Linked DNA regions of Rhinolophus ferrumequinum. The protein of the gene in region 2 interacts with the protein of the main gene of each other region in a pairwise test. Links are inferred from orthologs where the notes say so. Each region holds a gene or a part of one and is shown on either strand. Other genes may lie near its edges.

Evidence for each region. The genes of interacting proteins can lie anywhere in the genome.
Region 1: the proteins of BNIP3 (region 2) and BCL2 interact in a two-hybrid assay, tested with the Homo sapiens proteins (2 studies listed by BioGRID and IntAct). The link is inferred for Rhinolophus ferrumequinum from reciprocal best matches to the Homo sapiens genes BNIP3 and BCL2.

What each region holds. Positions count from the first base shown.
Region 1 is NC_046302.1:50,485,042-50,492,325, reverse strand, and holds the start of BCL2 (apoptosis regulator Bcl-2), read left to right. Parts: upstream 1-4,266; 5' UTR 4,267-4,416; intron 4,417-4,672; exon of another isoform or gene 4,673-5,262; 5' UTR 5,263-5,412; intron 5,413-5,632; 5' UTR 5,633-5,917; coding exon 5,918-6,481; intron 6,482-7,284. UniProt on the Homo sapiens protein: Suppresses apoptosis in a variety of cell systems including factor-dependent lymphohematopoietic and neural cells. Regulates cell death by controlling the mitochondrial membrane permeability. Appears to function in a feedback loop system with caspases.
Region 2 is NC_046299.1:993,241-1,000,647, forward strand, and holds the start of BNIP3 (BCL2/adenovirus E1B 19 kDa protein-interacting protein 3), read left to right. Parts: upstream 1-4,303; 5' UTR 4,304-4,460; coding exon 4,461-4,506; intron 4,507-7,407. UniProt on the Homo sapiens protein: Apoptosis-inducing protein that can overcome BCL2 suppression. May play a role in repartitioning calcium between the two major intracellular calcium stores in association with BCL2.

The DNA of each region.
Region 1 (7,284 bases), on a different chromosome or scaffold from region 2:
ATGAATTTGCCATGAGAAGGTTGGGTGCACTTCAGGGAGACAAACAGATATGCAAAGGCAAAAGTCATGAGAGAGCTTGGCATATTCCAGACAGCACACAAAGCTAATGAAGATGCGAGAAGGGAAAGTGGAAGGGCACCCAGGTGGTAGGCTTGGGCCACATCATGCTGTGCAAAAGGAGTTGAGATTTTAGCCTGTGTAGAACTTTGAATGGAAACATGAAATGGCCAGATTTCAGTTTTCGAAAGATTATGGTTCCCCTTGAAATTTAGGGGTTGCTGAGTCCTTGGGCCCTGGAATAAACAATCCTCATTTATTCGAGAGATACCATACTGTGTTTCCCTGAAATAAGACTGGATCTTATATTAAGTTTTGTTCCAAAAGTTGCATTAGGGTTTATGTTCAGAGGATGTCATCCTGAAAAATCATGCTAGGGTTTATTTTCTGGTTAGGTCTTATTTTCGGGGAAACACAGTATTAGATACATACTGTTATGGGTTCAGTTGTGTGCCCTCAAAAGATGTTAACATCTTAACCCCCAGTTCTTGTGAATGTGGCCTTATTCAGAAATAGGATCTTTACTAAAATAAGTAAGTGAAGATGAGGTTATTAGGATCCTAATCCAATATGACTGGTGACCTTATAATAGAAAACAGACACACTGGGAGGCCATGTGACAACAGACGCGGAGATCAGAGTGATGGAGCTGCAAGCCAAGGAACAACAAGGATGGACAGCCACCACCAGAAGCCGGAAGAGGCCAGGAAAGTTTTTTCTCTGGAGCCTTCAGAGGGCCCATGACTCCACTGACACCTTGATTTTGGGCTTTAAGCCTCCAGAACTGTGGGAGAATAAAGTTCTGTTTTAAGTCACCCAGTTTGTGGTATTTTGTTATGCCAGTCCTAGGAAACAAACATATTAACCTTGATTTTTCTAAATGTGTTCGTCAGGAATTAACATCTGGGAGATACTGCGCTGTGTGCTAAATAGCATTATGAGAATAAAAGTTAGTTTTTGCACATTAAGAATGTAAATGCTTTGTCAATTACCCCCTTAGTACTATGGTGTTTCATGTTGTTTGGTTTTATTACTGCAGTTTCGATCCAACGACAGCAGTAGGCGTTTGAAAAATATAAGTTCCTACTCTTATTTCACTTCAAAAGCCAAGTCGTTAATTTGAAAGGAAAAAATTGCCACAAGTGAATTGCTGGCACTTTCCTTTGTAAACCAAAAGTAAACATTATTTGCCCACTGTTAAACTTGCACAAGGAATGATTTATCTGCTTTTCATTGCCTACTTTCAAAGGTTGTTGCTTAATTATTCTAAATATTTTTTGAGGTTTAAGACCCATCATAAATTAGTCAGGTGGGTTTCTCTGTTAAACCAAAGCTTGTTGGTTTAGATTTGGCAAGGGTTTCCCGATGATGCCAAGGATAGTTTCGGGGCGCGCAGCAGATGACTCCCTTGTGATCACTCTTACAGAAGAAAGGCTCTAGAGCATAAGTGAATCAGAAACAGTGTTACTGTTCATATCAATATTAGTAACTAATTAGTAACATTATTATATAATGTTTGCCAACAAAGTATACAAACCCTCTGAGAGTGTGGTACTACTTAGCATAGAGTTTATAATGTATAAGATTTATGCCAATTATATCTCAATAAAGCTGGAACTAATTGAGAAGATAGATATTTGAAATTGGAAATCAGTGTTTTGGATTTTTTATCTAGGTGTGTGAGATGTTATTTTTTAAGTAGTTCATTTTTCTTATTTTATGAAAACGATATAGACTACTTGTTTCTCTCCAGTCAGTTTGTTTTGTTTATGGATTTATTTCCACTTCAGTGTACCTAAATTGTTCGGGTCATGTTTTATATTTTTAACTCTTTCATCTTACCGATTAGGTGTCCACTCCCTTTCAGTTAATGATGACTTTCCTCATTTTAAATAAAAAATTTAATAGTTGGGAAGATTTAATACATACCTATAATAAACACTAGTACATCCAGATTAGAATAATGTTCTTTTTGAATTTCATAAACTTTGGAAATATTTATATTGGTAATGGATGAAGAGAGCCTTCTGAATGATACTGTTAAACATTAACCAGTAGGTGGCGAAAACTGGCAATAAAAAGCTTTTTGTTTGGTAGACTGGAGAATAAAGAGGGAAAACACAGGCCTCCTAGAATCTACCCTCCTAGAATCCAGCCAGGCAGGCAAAGCTGGCAAACGGGTCGTCCATTGGCTCTTAAAAGTGGAAGACATTTTGGGAAATGAAAAGCCCACAGAGCAACATTTGCAGTTGTTGGAAGGTCTCCGTCACAGATCTAGGATTCAAACCCAGGACTCCTGATAGCCCTGTGCTCTGTCACCACCTCACCAATGCCCAGACACAAAGAGTTAATTCACACACTTCTGAGGAAAACACTTGACCTCACTCTTTAAAGTGGAATCTAATAAACATGGAATCTGAATGAAGGGTTTCATTCCTTCCATTGAAAGAGTATCCAGAACCTTCCCAGGGAATATAAACCCTAGCTAAGGACTGTAATGCAGACCTATCCTAAGAATGGTTATGCTCAAGATGCCACATAAGGAATCAGTCTGGGGACATTTGTAAAGTGTGGCTCTAGGGAGCAAAGGAGAGGGAGAAACAAGGAAGCTTTTCTTTCCCTGGGAATGGCGGTATGTTTCGTTCCGGCTGTCCCCTTTGCAGAAGTACAGTCTCTTTTCCAGCTCTGTCCTTTCATTTCCTCACTCAAATGCTGGGTCTCAGAAGCACTAAGGCTTTCAATTCCTCTTAAATCATTTTGGGGGTTTAAGACACGGTTCTGAGAAGATCCTTAAACCAGAATGCTGTGGCATTAGGCGGGTTTCTACTATTTCTGTGGGAATATGTATCTCAGGTCAATCTATACCCAGTGTCTATCTGCAGGCCAGAACACCTCTCCGCCACTGCCGTTGGTAAAGGGGGACTCTGTCACAGCCAACAGAAGACAGAATGGAGCGTCTTCCTTTACTCCCTCTTGCCTAAATGCAAAGTTTAGACCACACACCCATTCCTACATGCAAGAGGTTGGCATGGGGGCTGATTGGGTATGAAAGATGAAGAAAGGGGAATAATTTGCTGTGCTTTTTTTGCTTAGGAATAAATGCTTTGATTTTAGACTAGGAATGAGGCAAAATAGTGTCAGACAGTATATCTGTATATAGTGCAGTGCTCATTTGTCATATTTCTAAGACCACAATTATCCAGTGTCCCTATATATTTGTACTTGAGCCCTATTAAGCAAGCTGCTGTGCTTGTAGTAAACATTTTTTCTCGGGGCTTTATATGTCAAAGACTCTGAGGGATAAAAATAGTTAACGTGCAATTTGATTGTGCTCTTGTGCTTTTCTCCTGGGGCTACCAATGCTGATGAATTAAAAAATGTGTTCTTGTGTGTACATGTGTGTGAAATTGTGTGTATGTGTGTGTGTGTGTGTACAACTGAGAAGGTGTGGCCATCTAGGATTGGCTGCTAGGCGACTGTGGAGGCCTTTAGAGACCCACCCACCCTGGTGTTGGGACTGTGGGCCTAAAGTCGCCCCGTGGACCTCCGCAGCGGACAGTCCTAACTCTGTACCAGGAGCAGAGAAAAAACATTGACAGAACCATTTCAAAGCCCTTGATATCCCCCACTCGCCCCTCCACCGGCCCGCTGAGAGCTCTCTCTGGCCTTGGTCACGGATGGTGTCCCAGAATGTGTTCCGCGTGGACACCTAGGAGGCAACTTTAAAGTAAACAAGACGCTTGGGGCTTCCCTGGCTAATGAATGTGCAGCGTCGCCTCTCTTTACGGGAGGGCAGCGCTGAGGTCCCTGTGCTCGGGTCAGCATCGGCCTCGGTCGTCTCTCAGGCGGCGGCCAAGCGCTGGTAACACGATGTACACACACACGGCTAGAAAGGATCGCAGTTTTTTTTTTTTGTTTTTTTTTCCCGGCGCCCTCCCTGCGCACCCACCCGCCGCCAACCCGGGCGCGTCCCATTTCCCGGGCACCCCCGGCCCCTCGCCGGCCCCCGAGCGCGCGCCCAGCCCGCCGCAGGCCCGAGGAGGCCCCGCGCACACCCACCGCGCCGCGGCCGCGCGGGAGGCCTGCGCCACCCGCGCCACCCACCGGCCAGGCGGGCGGAGCGGCCCGGGAGGGCGGGGGCCGTGCTAGGCGCGCCCTCCCCGGCCGCGGCCCTGCGCGCCATGTGTTCCCTTCCCGGCGCGCCGCTCCCGGCCCGGCAGCGGCTCCTTTAACCCGGGAAGGAGAGCGGGGCGGAGGGGCGGTGGGGCCGCTCAGAGGAGGGCTCTTTCTTTCTTCTTTTTTTTGAATGAACAGTGTGACGTACGTACAGGAAACCAGTCGATTCGAACGGAGAATGAAGTAAGAGGCCAGGCCCCCCCGCCCGCCCCCTTCCTCCCCGCCCCCTCCCCCGCCCGCCGCCCTCCTGCCCGCCCTCCCGCCGCTCTCGGTTTCCCCTTGGAACCGTCGCCGCTGCCAGCGAAGGTGCCGGGCGCCGGGCCCTCCCCACCGGCACGGCCGTCATCGCCGGGAGCGGGTGCGCGGCGGGAGCGCCGGAGACGGCCGCCGCCAGCGCCGCCGCGCAGGAGCAGGAGGAGGAGAAAGGGTGCGCAGCCCGGAGGCGGGGTGCGCCGGTGGGGTGCAGCGGAAGAGGGGGTCCAGGGGGGAGAACTTCGTAGCAGTCATCCTTTTTAGGAAAAGAGGGAAAAAATAAAACCCTCCCCCACCACCTCCTTCTCCCCACCCCTCGCCGCACCACACACAGCGCGGGCTCCTCGCGCTCGGCACCGGCGGGCCAGGCGCGTCCTGCCTTCATTTATCAAGCAGCTTTTCGGAAAAATGCATTTGCCGTTCGGAGTTTAATCAGAAGAGGATTCCTGCCCCCGTGCCCGGCGCGTCCACCGGGCCCCCAGTCCCCGTGTCTCTCCCGGGGAGGCGTGGAGCGGTCCCGCGGATAGGGGTCCATGTCTGTGCCCGCGCGTGTGTGCGCGCGTGTAAATTGCCGAGAGGGGGGAAATCACAAGACTGCAAATACTGGACTGAAAATTGTAATTCATCTGCTGCCGCCGCCGCTGCCTTTTTTTTTCTTTTTTTTTTTTTTCTCGTGCTGGAGATCTCCGGTTGGGATTCCTGCGGATTGACATTTCTGTGAAGAAGTCTGGGAATCAATCTGGAAATTCTCCTAATTTTTACCACCCTCCTCCGCAGCCCCCTCCAACTCCTGATTCATTTGGAAGTTTTAAAGCAGCTATAACCGGAGAGTTCTGAAGATCGATGGACTCTTTGCCTTATGCATTTGTTTTGTTTTCACAAAAAAGGATACTTGACAGAAGATCATGTTGTCCTTAAAAAATACAAGTAAGTTCTTTGCACAGGAAATTGGTTTAATGTAACTTTCAATAGAAACATTTGCGATTTTGTCTTTAAGTGCATTCGAGTAAGTTTAATTTCCGGCCAGTTTAATACATTCTTTTTAGCCGTGTAACTTGTAGTGTGTATGCTCTGCTTTCACCCAGTGTATACAGGAAAATGCACCTGATCTGGACTTATCAGTTTTGTTTTTTTTTTAACCTTTCAGGATCACGAAGGAAGTAGATTGATATTGACAATAAGTAATAATAATGTGCCTCATGAAATAAAGATCCGAAAGGAATTTAAATAAAAATTTCCTGCGTCTCATGCCAAGAGGGAAACACCAGAATCAAGTGTTCCGCGTGACTGACGACACCCCCTCATCCAAGAATGCAAAGCACATCCAATAAAATAGCTGGATTATAACTATTCTTCTTTCCTTCGGGGCCGTGGGGCGGGAGAGGCGGCGAGAGGTGCTGTTGGTACCCGGCTGCTTTTCCTCGAGGGAAGGATGGCGCACGCTGGGAGAACAGGGTATGATAACCGGGAGATAGTGATGAAGTACATCCACTATAAGCTGTCGCAGAGGGGCTACGAGTGGGATGCCGGAGACGCGGGCGCCGCGTCCTCGGGGGCAACCCCCGCGCCGGGCATCTTCTCCTCCCAGCCCGAGCGCACCCCGGCGCCCGCCAGGACCTCGCCGCCGCCGCCGCTGGCTGCCCCCGCTGCCGCCGCAGGGCCTGCGCTCAGCCCCGTGCCACCTGTGGTCCACCTGACCCTGCGCCAGGCCGGCGATGACTTCTCCCGTCGCTACCGCCGCGACTTCGCCGAGATGTCCAGCCAGCTGCATCTGACGCCCTTCACCGCGAGGGGACGCTTTGCTACGGTGGTGGAGGAGCTTTTCAGGGACGGGGTGAACTGGGGGAGGATTGTGGCCTTCTTTGAGTTCGGTGGGGTCATGTGTGTGGAGAGCGTCAACCGGGAGATGTCGCCCCTGGTGGACAACATCGCCCTGTGGATGACCGAGTACCTGAACCGGCACCTGCACACCTGGATCCAGGATAACGGAGGCTGGGTAGGTGCATGTCTGGTTGGATGTGAGTCTGGGCTTCGCGTCTCTGGTCAGGGATGCGGTGGTTGCAGTGTGCGCGTGTGTTCCTGGGCCAAGGGCAGGCTGATGAGCCAGTGACGTAAATCAGGTGTGGTGCTTCCCACCTCTCCCCCTGCAAAGAGCTCTCCCTGCCAACCACACTGTGATCATTCCTTCCTGCCCAAAGTGTTTTCCTTGCTTGTCAGCTGTTGAGGTTCCAAGATCCAGCATTTGCTGTACAGTGAAATCTTGGGATAAATGGTTATCCCTTCAGGGTTTCTCAAACTGGGGGTCCAAGGGTCCCCAGCATCACAGTTTACCTGGCTGGAGTCGGTTATTGAATTCGGGGATTTCAGGGACTACTCATGAACCAGACCCCAGGTTGGGTCCTGGCAATCAGCATCCTAAACAAACTCCCCTGGGGGTTTCTTCTTTGTATTAAAATTTGGGAACCACCCAATTACAAGAACACACTGCACCAGAAAACCTCGGGCGTGCCTTTTCTGACACCCACCTGGTAAAAATCTACCCAAAGCAGAAAACCAGTGTAGCCCCTTTCCCTGGAAAGCATAGCTGTGTTTGTAAAGAGGTAAGTTGACTTTCCAGAAGTCTGGGGACTCCAGCCGGAGTGTGTGCCACATTCCAGTGGGCATCACCGAGTATCTTGCACTGGACGTTGTCTCACCACGAACAGAATTTGCATCGGCTGTGTGCTTTGTGTTCCACTTCTGTAACTGGTGTACGATTTTACAGTTTACTGGAATTTTAGTATCTTTGACTTTTCATCA
Region 2 (7,407 bases):
ATATTCTTAGATATGTTTTGTTGTCACTCTTATGAGATGTTTTCCATTTTCAAATTGGTCACTGCTAGCCTTTAAAAAAGCTATTGATTTGTGTATGCTTACCTTATGACACACATTATTAAATTTTTATTTGTTCAAAGACTTTCTCCATTGATTGTCCTGAATCTTCAGAGAAACAATTTTATTATTCTGTGTTAATCCACTGCTTTAATTAACAGATACTAACTGAACCCCTGCTGCCTGCCGGGCCTGCCCTCAGGGAACCTACCTGGGGGGATGAGGTGGGTCAGTAGTAGCAGTCTCGCCTCCTCCTTTTTGGTGTTGTGAAATTTTCCTTCCTCCTTCCTGTCTTCTGGCACGGCCTCAGACCTCAGAGCTCGGGCTGCTGACAAGCCCCTGGCCTGCTGCTGACTTCACGGGGATGCCACGGTGTCACCCATCGTGGGCTTCAGGTGCGCTACTTTTACCAGGGCGGTGTCTCTGTTGTGAGTGTAATAGAAGCCAGCTTGGAGTGCCGGGAGAGGAGAAGGGATTTCCTGATGGGTTCTGGAGGGCTCACAGAGTTGCTGTTTTGAAGGCCCAAGTCCTAGCCTTGAAACATGGGCAGGAATGAGGGCAGCTACACAGTGGTACGCCTGGTCCCAAGGATGGATGGCTGGCACTCTGGGCGCTGGGGCCCGGCACCTCCTGCTGGGTGCTGGGTGCTGGGTGCTGGAGGCTGCTCTGGTATTTCCGTTTCTCTAGACCAAAAGGCAGGACGTCACGCAGCGTGCAGGGCTTCAGGTGAGGGCAAGGAGGAAGGAGCCCACGTCCCCCCACTGCCCTCTCCCCCGCCCAACTTACTAAGTTTGTTTCTAGCGTGTGTTCATGTCAGAAATGCACATGAAATTATTTTTGCTTCTAAAATGATTATTTTTAGTCTTTGATCTGTCAGGTATTTTTTAAGATCCTCAAGCTACTTTTTCTTCTTTAATCTTTTGTTAAATATGTGGTCAAACCATCCCTACCGTCCCAGGAGAGAACTTACATGGTTGTAATGGATTCGTCTTCTGTTTGCTGTCAGTTCAGTCAGTACTTTTCCATGCATATTCCTAGGTGACTATAGCTCAATATTTTGTTTCCTACTATGAAAGCATGATGCGAAGTTAGAATCAGGGTTGTACCGACCCCATAGAATGAACTGGTAAAATCTCACTATTGACTACAGCCTGAAAGCACACGGAAATGCTCCCCGATCTAAAGGTTGGGCAGAAACTTGTAAAACTGCCTGAGCTCTGTCTCTGGGGAAATCAGACCGTCAGCCACGTGCCAATCACTTCCACTGCTTCAGAGGCTCTCCTTTCCTGAATCAACTTTATATTTTCCTGAAAAATAATTTTATTCAGGTTTCTTTTTTTAACTATAAAAGTGTATATGATTTTATATCATATTTTAAAATTTCCTCTGAATTTATAATCAGATCCTCATGTAGTGCTCAAAATGTCATTTATCACCAAAGATTTGAAATTAATGAAGGCAAATATGTTTTCTAACTCATTAATTTTGCTTTAATTTTTATTAATTTTATAATAATGTTACAAATGTATTAATTTCTTTTATTTAGGGTTTTTTCCTAGCTTTTTAAACTACCTAGTTCATTTCTTTTATACCTTGTCCTAAAATGCATTTAATACTATACATTTTCATACGAGTGGCATTTAATATATTGTTTTTAATAAATTTTATTTTTATGACTAATTTAGAACGACAGAAAAATGATGAATCCAATAGTAGAGTGAGTTCCCACACACCCTACACCTAATTTGCCGTTATTAACATCTTACGTGAGTAAGACTTATGCTAATCAGATTTCCTCAGTTTTTCCCTACTGTCCTCATGTCCCAGGATCTCAGTTTTGAGACTCCTGTCTCCTTGGGCCACTGTTGGCCATCGCCGTTTTTCAGGGTAGGCCAACTGGAGCAGATCTTCAAGCCACGCGTTTTCTTTCCCATTTCCCACTTGCATTTTCCTTGATCCCCAACTCTGACTGGGGGCTCCTCAGGCTTCCCCTGGGCAGCCTGACCCACCCTGTCTGCTATAACCTTCCCCGGGGCACTAAGCAGCTTTACAGTGACGCTGTTGGAAGTTAGGCCTCAGGGCTCCCTGGGTGGGGACATGAAATGATGGAAGTTGCTGGGACCTGTTAACGTAAGAATGTCCAAACCTGTAGATTACTTCTTATAAAAATGTATTTGGGCCAAACAGAGGATACACCTGGAAGCAAGATCTCAGCAGACTGAGATAAATGTTTGGAGAATAAGTTTGCAGTTTCTTTTATGCATATGAGATTAGGAAGGAACTAAGGAAGATTTCAAGGAGGTGGGAAGGAGCAAGGCGGGGATTGGATTACAGGACAGTTAAGATTACAGTGCTCTCTTGAGGGTGGTTCTGCTTCTTTCAAAGGCTGTTAACCTGGATGCACAGAAACAATGGACAGGGCTGCTTACAGCAAAGAGAAACCTTTTGCTAAAGAAGTTACAGACCTGGGGTGGGACTACTCACCGCGACCTGCCCTGCCCGTTAGGAATTTGTGATCAGATCACTCTGAGGTTACTTTCCGTGGAGCTTCTTCCCCCCCCCCCCCACAGACTGGTAGAGTGTTCTAGATGGGGAGGGAAAATCAGGTTGCAAAAAGAAACATTTCCATTTAAACATTTCTGGGTCATCGGCCTAGAGAGACTTAGAGGGCTTATGAAATGTACACGTTCCGGTGAGCTTAGCAGGTTGAGGGGTGAGGAGACATACAAAAGTCCGTGATCATTGTACATATTAGCAATAAAAAAATCAAACGAAATTTCACAATATGGTAACATTAGAAATAGGCCTATTTAGGGAATGTCTGTCAAGTGCGCAGACGCTGTACACTGAAGAGCACAGAACCTGCCGAGAAGTGAGAACACCTGAACAGCGGACAAGCAGCCTGCGCTCAGGGGTTGGGAGACGGGACAGCTTCCCCAGTGATGCTTCCCCAGGCAGTCGTCCCAGTAAAGGGCCCAGAGAGAAGAGGCAGGCGTGGGCACATTCTATGAGGGGACGTGCCATTTGTGTCCGTGTGGGGCAGCTGTGTCCCGTGCGTCCGCTGCTGCACCCATCCTGAACACTGCAGTGACAGGGGCGCTTGGAAAAGACTTGCTGAATAAAGGAGAACTAACGTTTGAATGGAAAGAAAGGCCAGAACCTCTACATCCAGAAAGAAGGCTAAGCTTAGTGCCCCTCTCAAGGGCATCCTTACCTAGAATGGAAACAAAGACACCCCCCCCCAGGTGAGGACAGCAGGGGCTGCTGCCCCAGAGCGTGCTTGGCACCCGTCCCCGTCACTGGGTTTGGCAGAGACCCAAAGGCAGGCAGGGGAGTGGGAGACTTCACAGTGGAAAGGGAGGCTCCAGGTGTGTCCCCATGGAGGCTGGGACCGGAAAGCCTGGAGCAGGGGACACCGAGATTGGTCAGGGCGGCGTCTGGCTTTCTGTGGTGGGTCCTGAGCTGGCAGCGGGGACAGAAATTGGGGAAGCTGTCAGTTATGGATCAAGTCCGGCCGTTTGGGGCTGACTGTTACAGGGCTGCTGTGTGGCTTCCAGTTGCTAGAGACACTGGTCTCACTTCCTGCCAAGAGAGGAGGCTGGGCTCCTGGTTGGTCACTGCAGGTGAGGGGCTGCTGCCTGGCTGGTGGCCGCGGGTGTGTCTCAGTTCTGTCTTCACAGATGGCTTAGCCCCGGTGTGTTTCCACGCAGTCCACTAGCGAGCCCTGCGGTCCTCGGCTGTCCGGTTTTCGCATTGCCCGGTGTCGAGTTTACTGCCTTTACTGTGTTGGAGGGAGAACAGCAAACTCAGCAGCGTTAAAGACAGCCCGGGGGCCTCAGCGTCCAACCCGGCCCGCGCAGCCGCACGCCCGTGCTCACCTGCACCTCGCCCGCGTCCACCGGTGGGACGCGCGTCCGCCGCGAGCTCCGTCCGCAAGGCGCCCAGGCCTGGCGGGACCAACAGGTACTGAGCCCCTCCCACGGTGCCCCGCCTCTCCAGCAGTTTAGCCCCGCCCACCCGGACCCCGCCCCGCCCACCCCGGGCCCCCGCCCCGCCTGCGTACGCACGCCCCGCCCCTCAGACCCCGCGCACGAGCGCTCGGATCGCCAGGCGACGCCTCTGCTCCACCCCGCGCACGCGCCGCACGCGCCGCACGCGCCCCGCGCGCCCCACGCCCTGCGTACGCGCAGGCCCCTCCTCGCGGCCAATCGGCGACGCCGCCGCTTTTCCGCTGTTTATCTGCGGTGCGTCTGCCGGCGCGCGTCAGTCAGTCGGGGTCCTGGGCTGACGCCGCTGTAATTGTTGGGCCCGCGCTCGTGCTCCAGCTGCCGCCGGTCTTCTTTGCAGCGCCCGGCGCCCACCCGATCCCGGCCCGGCGGCCGCTGCGCCCTCCTTCCGGCGCCATGTCGCAGAGCGGGACACCCGGACTACAGGAGGAGAGCCTGCAGGGTGAGCCTCGCGGGATCGGGGCGGGGAGTGCTGAGGGGAGGCCGTGGGGACGCGGGGACGCGAGTGAGGCGGGCGGGACCTGTCGGGGCCCCTTCACGGCGAGGCCAGGCCGCCGGGACGGTCGCCGGCGCGAGGCTGCGCCCACCTCGCGGGTCGTCCCTGCGCACGGCGGGCAGGTGGCGGCTGGCTGCCCGTGGGGCCAGGCGGCCGGCGGGGCCCCCGGGACGTGGGGGCCGTGCGGGGCCGTGTCCGGGGCGCACGGCTGCCGCGCCCGCGGACAGTGGATCCTGGGGAGGGGCCGAGCTGGGGGGTTGGCGCGGACGCCGGCCGAGGCCGGCGAGGAGCCTGAACTGTCCGGCTCGGGGCAACTGGAAGCGCCGTCTGCGAGTCGCGTCTCGGGTCCGAATGGCTTCTTCAGGGCCACGTTTCCACGTTCTGTGGTGAGACCAGTGGGTTTCAGGAGCAGAAGCCGGGTGTGACGTGGGCTTGCACGGGCGTTAGTAGTAGAGCGTGGAGCGTCCTGGCCGCCGGGACCGGTCGGAGGAAGGAGGGCAGGGGGTTGCCCGTGATGCAGACGGGCCCGCGGCCCCCGGCCGCGCTTCTCCGCGGAACAGATGGACGGTGCTCGGAGCAACTGCCGTGGGCTGCGGGCAGGCCGCTCTTTACGTTCGCCTGGGCTAGAGGGTCGTCCCCAGACAACAGGGATGTGCGGGCGGGAGAGTGGAAGCTGGAGGACCTGGGGCACCCGGCGCTGCCGCTCGTGCGCGGGGCCTTGGCGATTCCAGACCCGCGGGCGCGGAGGGTTGCTGTGCTGCTTCGTGGGTCGGTGGCAGCCGTGCGGTCCGCCCTCTGGCCTCGCGTCGGCCGCGCGGCCGCTCGGGGGGGCCCGGGAGCGGGGGAGGAGGAGCCCGCGCGTCACCTTTGCGTTCTCGGGGGCAAGAGTTGACTCGGCAGGAGGAGCGTGAGTAAGCGTCGGAGAGGACTGTTCAGACCTGAGCGTGAGCTTAAACCCTAACGTTGTTCAGATAAGTTCAGTGAGCTGCTAGGTTTTTTCTTAGTCCTTAAAGCAGCATTGTATTTTTATTAGGCGAGGCTGAATTAGCCTAATGCGTTGTGTGTCGTGTATTTTAAAAGTACAACCACTTTTTTTTTATTAGTTTCAGGTGTACAAAACAATGTACTAATTAGACATTTACATCCTTCATAAAGTGGTAACCCCCCCGTCTACTACCCCCAGTCCACTACCTCTCTGACATGGTGTGTGACTGTTACAATCCCATTGACTGCCTTCCCCATGCTGTAGTTTATGTACGTGTGCACACTTACATATATTTAATCATTGTTGACATTTTATATTATTTTACTTCGGCTGCAGATGTATATAGCGCAGCGGTCAGGCATCCACACAGTCCATGAAGTGATCCCCCTGATAAGTCCAGTGCCCATCGGGTACCTTCCATCATCTTTACAGCTCTGCCGGTTATATTCCCCAAACTGTACTTCGTGTCCCCGTGACTGTTTTGTGACTACCGGTTTGTTCTTTCTAATCCCCTCACCTGCTCCCTCATCCCCACCCCCCTCCCATCTAGCAACCACCACTTTTTTCTTTATATCTCTGAGTCTGTTTCTGTTTTGTTTGTTTATTCTGTTGTTTAGATTCCACATATAAGTGAGATCACATGGTATTTGTCTTTCTCAGTCTGACTTATTTCACTTAGCATAATGTTCTTTAGGTCCATCCATATTGCAAATGATAAGATTTCATTCTTTTTCATAGCCAAGTACAACCACATTTTTAAAATCCTGTAATCTCCTTAAATTTTGAAATTGACTGTTTTCTTTGAACTGGATTAAGGAATTAATCTTTTCTGTCTTTTTTCACGCAGGATCCAGGGGGTATTTCATAAACTCTTGGCCTTAGAATCATTCTTTTCCTAATTACCAAACTACTTAACTTCTGCCGCTGTGTTTCACTGGCTCAGATTTAGCCTCTGGAAGAGTTCTGAGCCCTCCAGAGGGGCTTCCTGACTGACACCAAACAGCTGAGTCACTGGCAATGCAAAATCACCAGCTCGTGAATTAAAAGATTTGCTTTGTGTTTTGCTTATTCTATAAAAAGATGGTTACACAGGGAGTGGAAACTCATGGTAAGGATTCCCGAGTGTACTAGTGTGTACGTGCTGTAGGGCACTCCACTTGCTCACCGTCCAGCTCCGGCTGGGAGGAGTCAGTCACTGGGCAGCTGCCCCACGAAATGTGAGCCGCATGGATTCTGGATTCGCTGGAGCAGGCGTGTCCTCCGTGTGCTGTTTTGATTTGGTTCCCTCTTGTTTACCTCACATGACAACTGAGAGCTTTGGTTGCCAAACTCCGACAGCAGCAAACGGTTTCCCCTTTGCTTGTATCTGGCACCAGGATGTTCTCCCCAAGGAGTGAACAGCAAAATGGATGTGTGTTCCCCCCTTTCCCTGGTCCATTCTAGTTAGAGCTGTTGACTTGCAAGGTGTTCTGTGCCTTTTTCTTCTTAGATGCACAACTGCTGACATGCATGTTGTTGTGTCACAGTGTCACGGGAGTGGTGCGTGGCTTACTTCCCAGAAGGCCCCCTTCTGAGCAGAGCTGCTCATGGGTGCAGGCGTCAGTTCAGTCAGTGCTCAGCCCTTTGCTCTGAGACGCCCCCACCCCTGTTACTGCTGTGTATGGGGACAGTGCTCGTCTTGGCAACTCACCACGTGGCAGCTCCCCACGGACAAAGGTGTATGAAGAGGAAAATAATTCATCTTTCCTGTGGAGGGGAATGTGGAGCTTGCAGTTTGGGAGTATAAAGGGGTTTCAGGCATTAAATCGTAGCCCAACCCCTGCATTTCATAGAGGGTTGCAGTGAGGCCAGAGGGTAAGTGA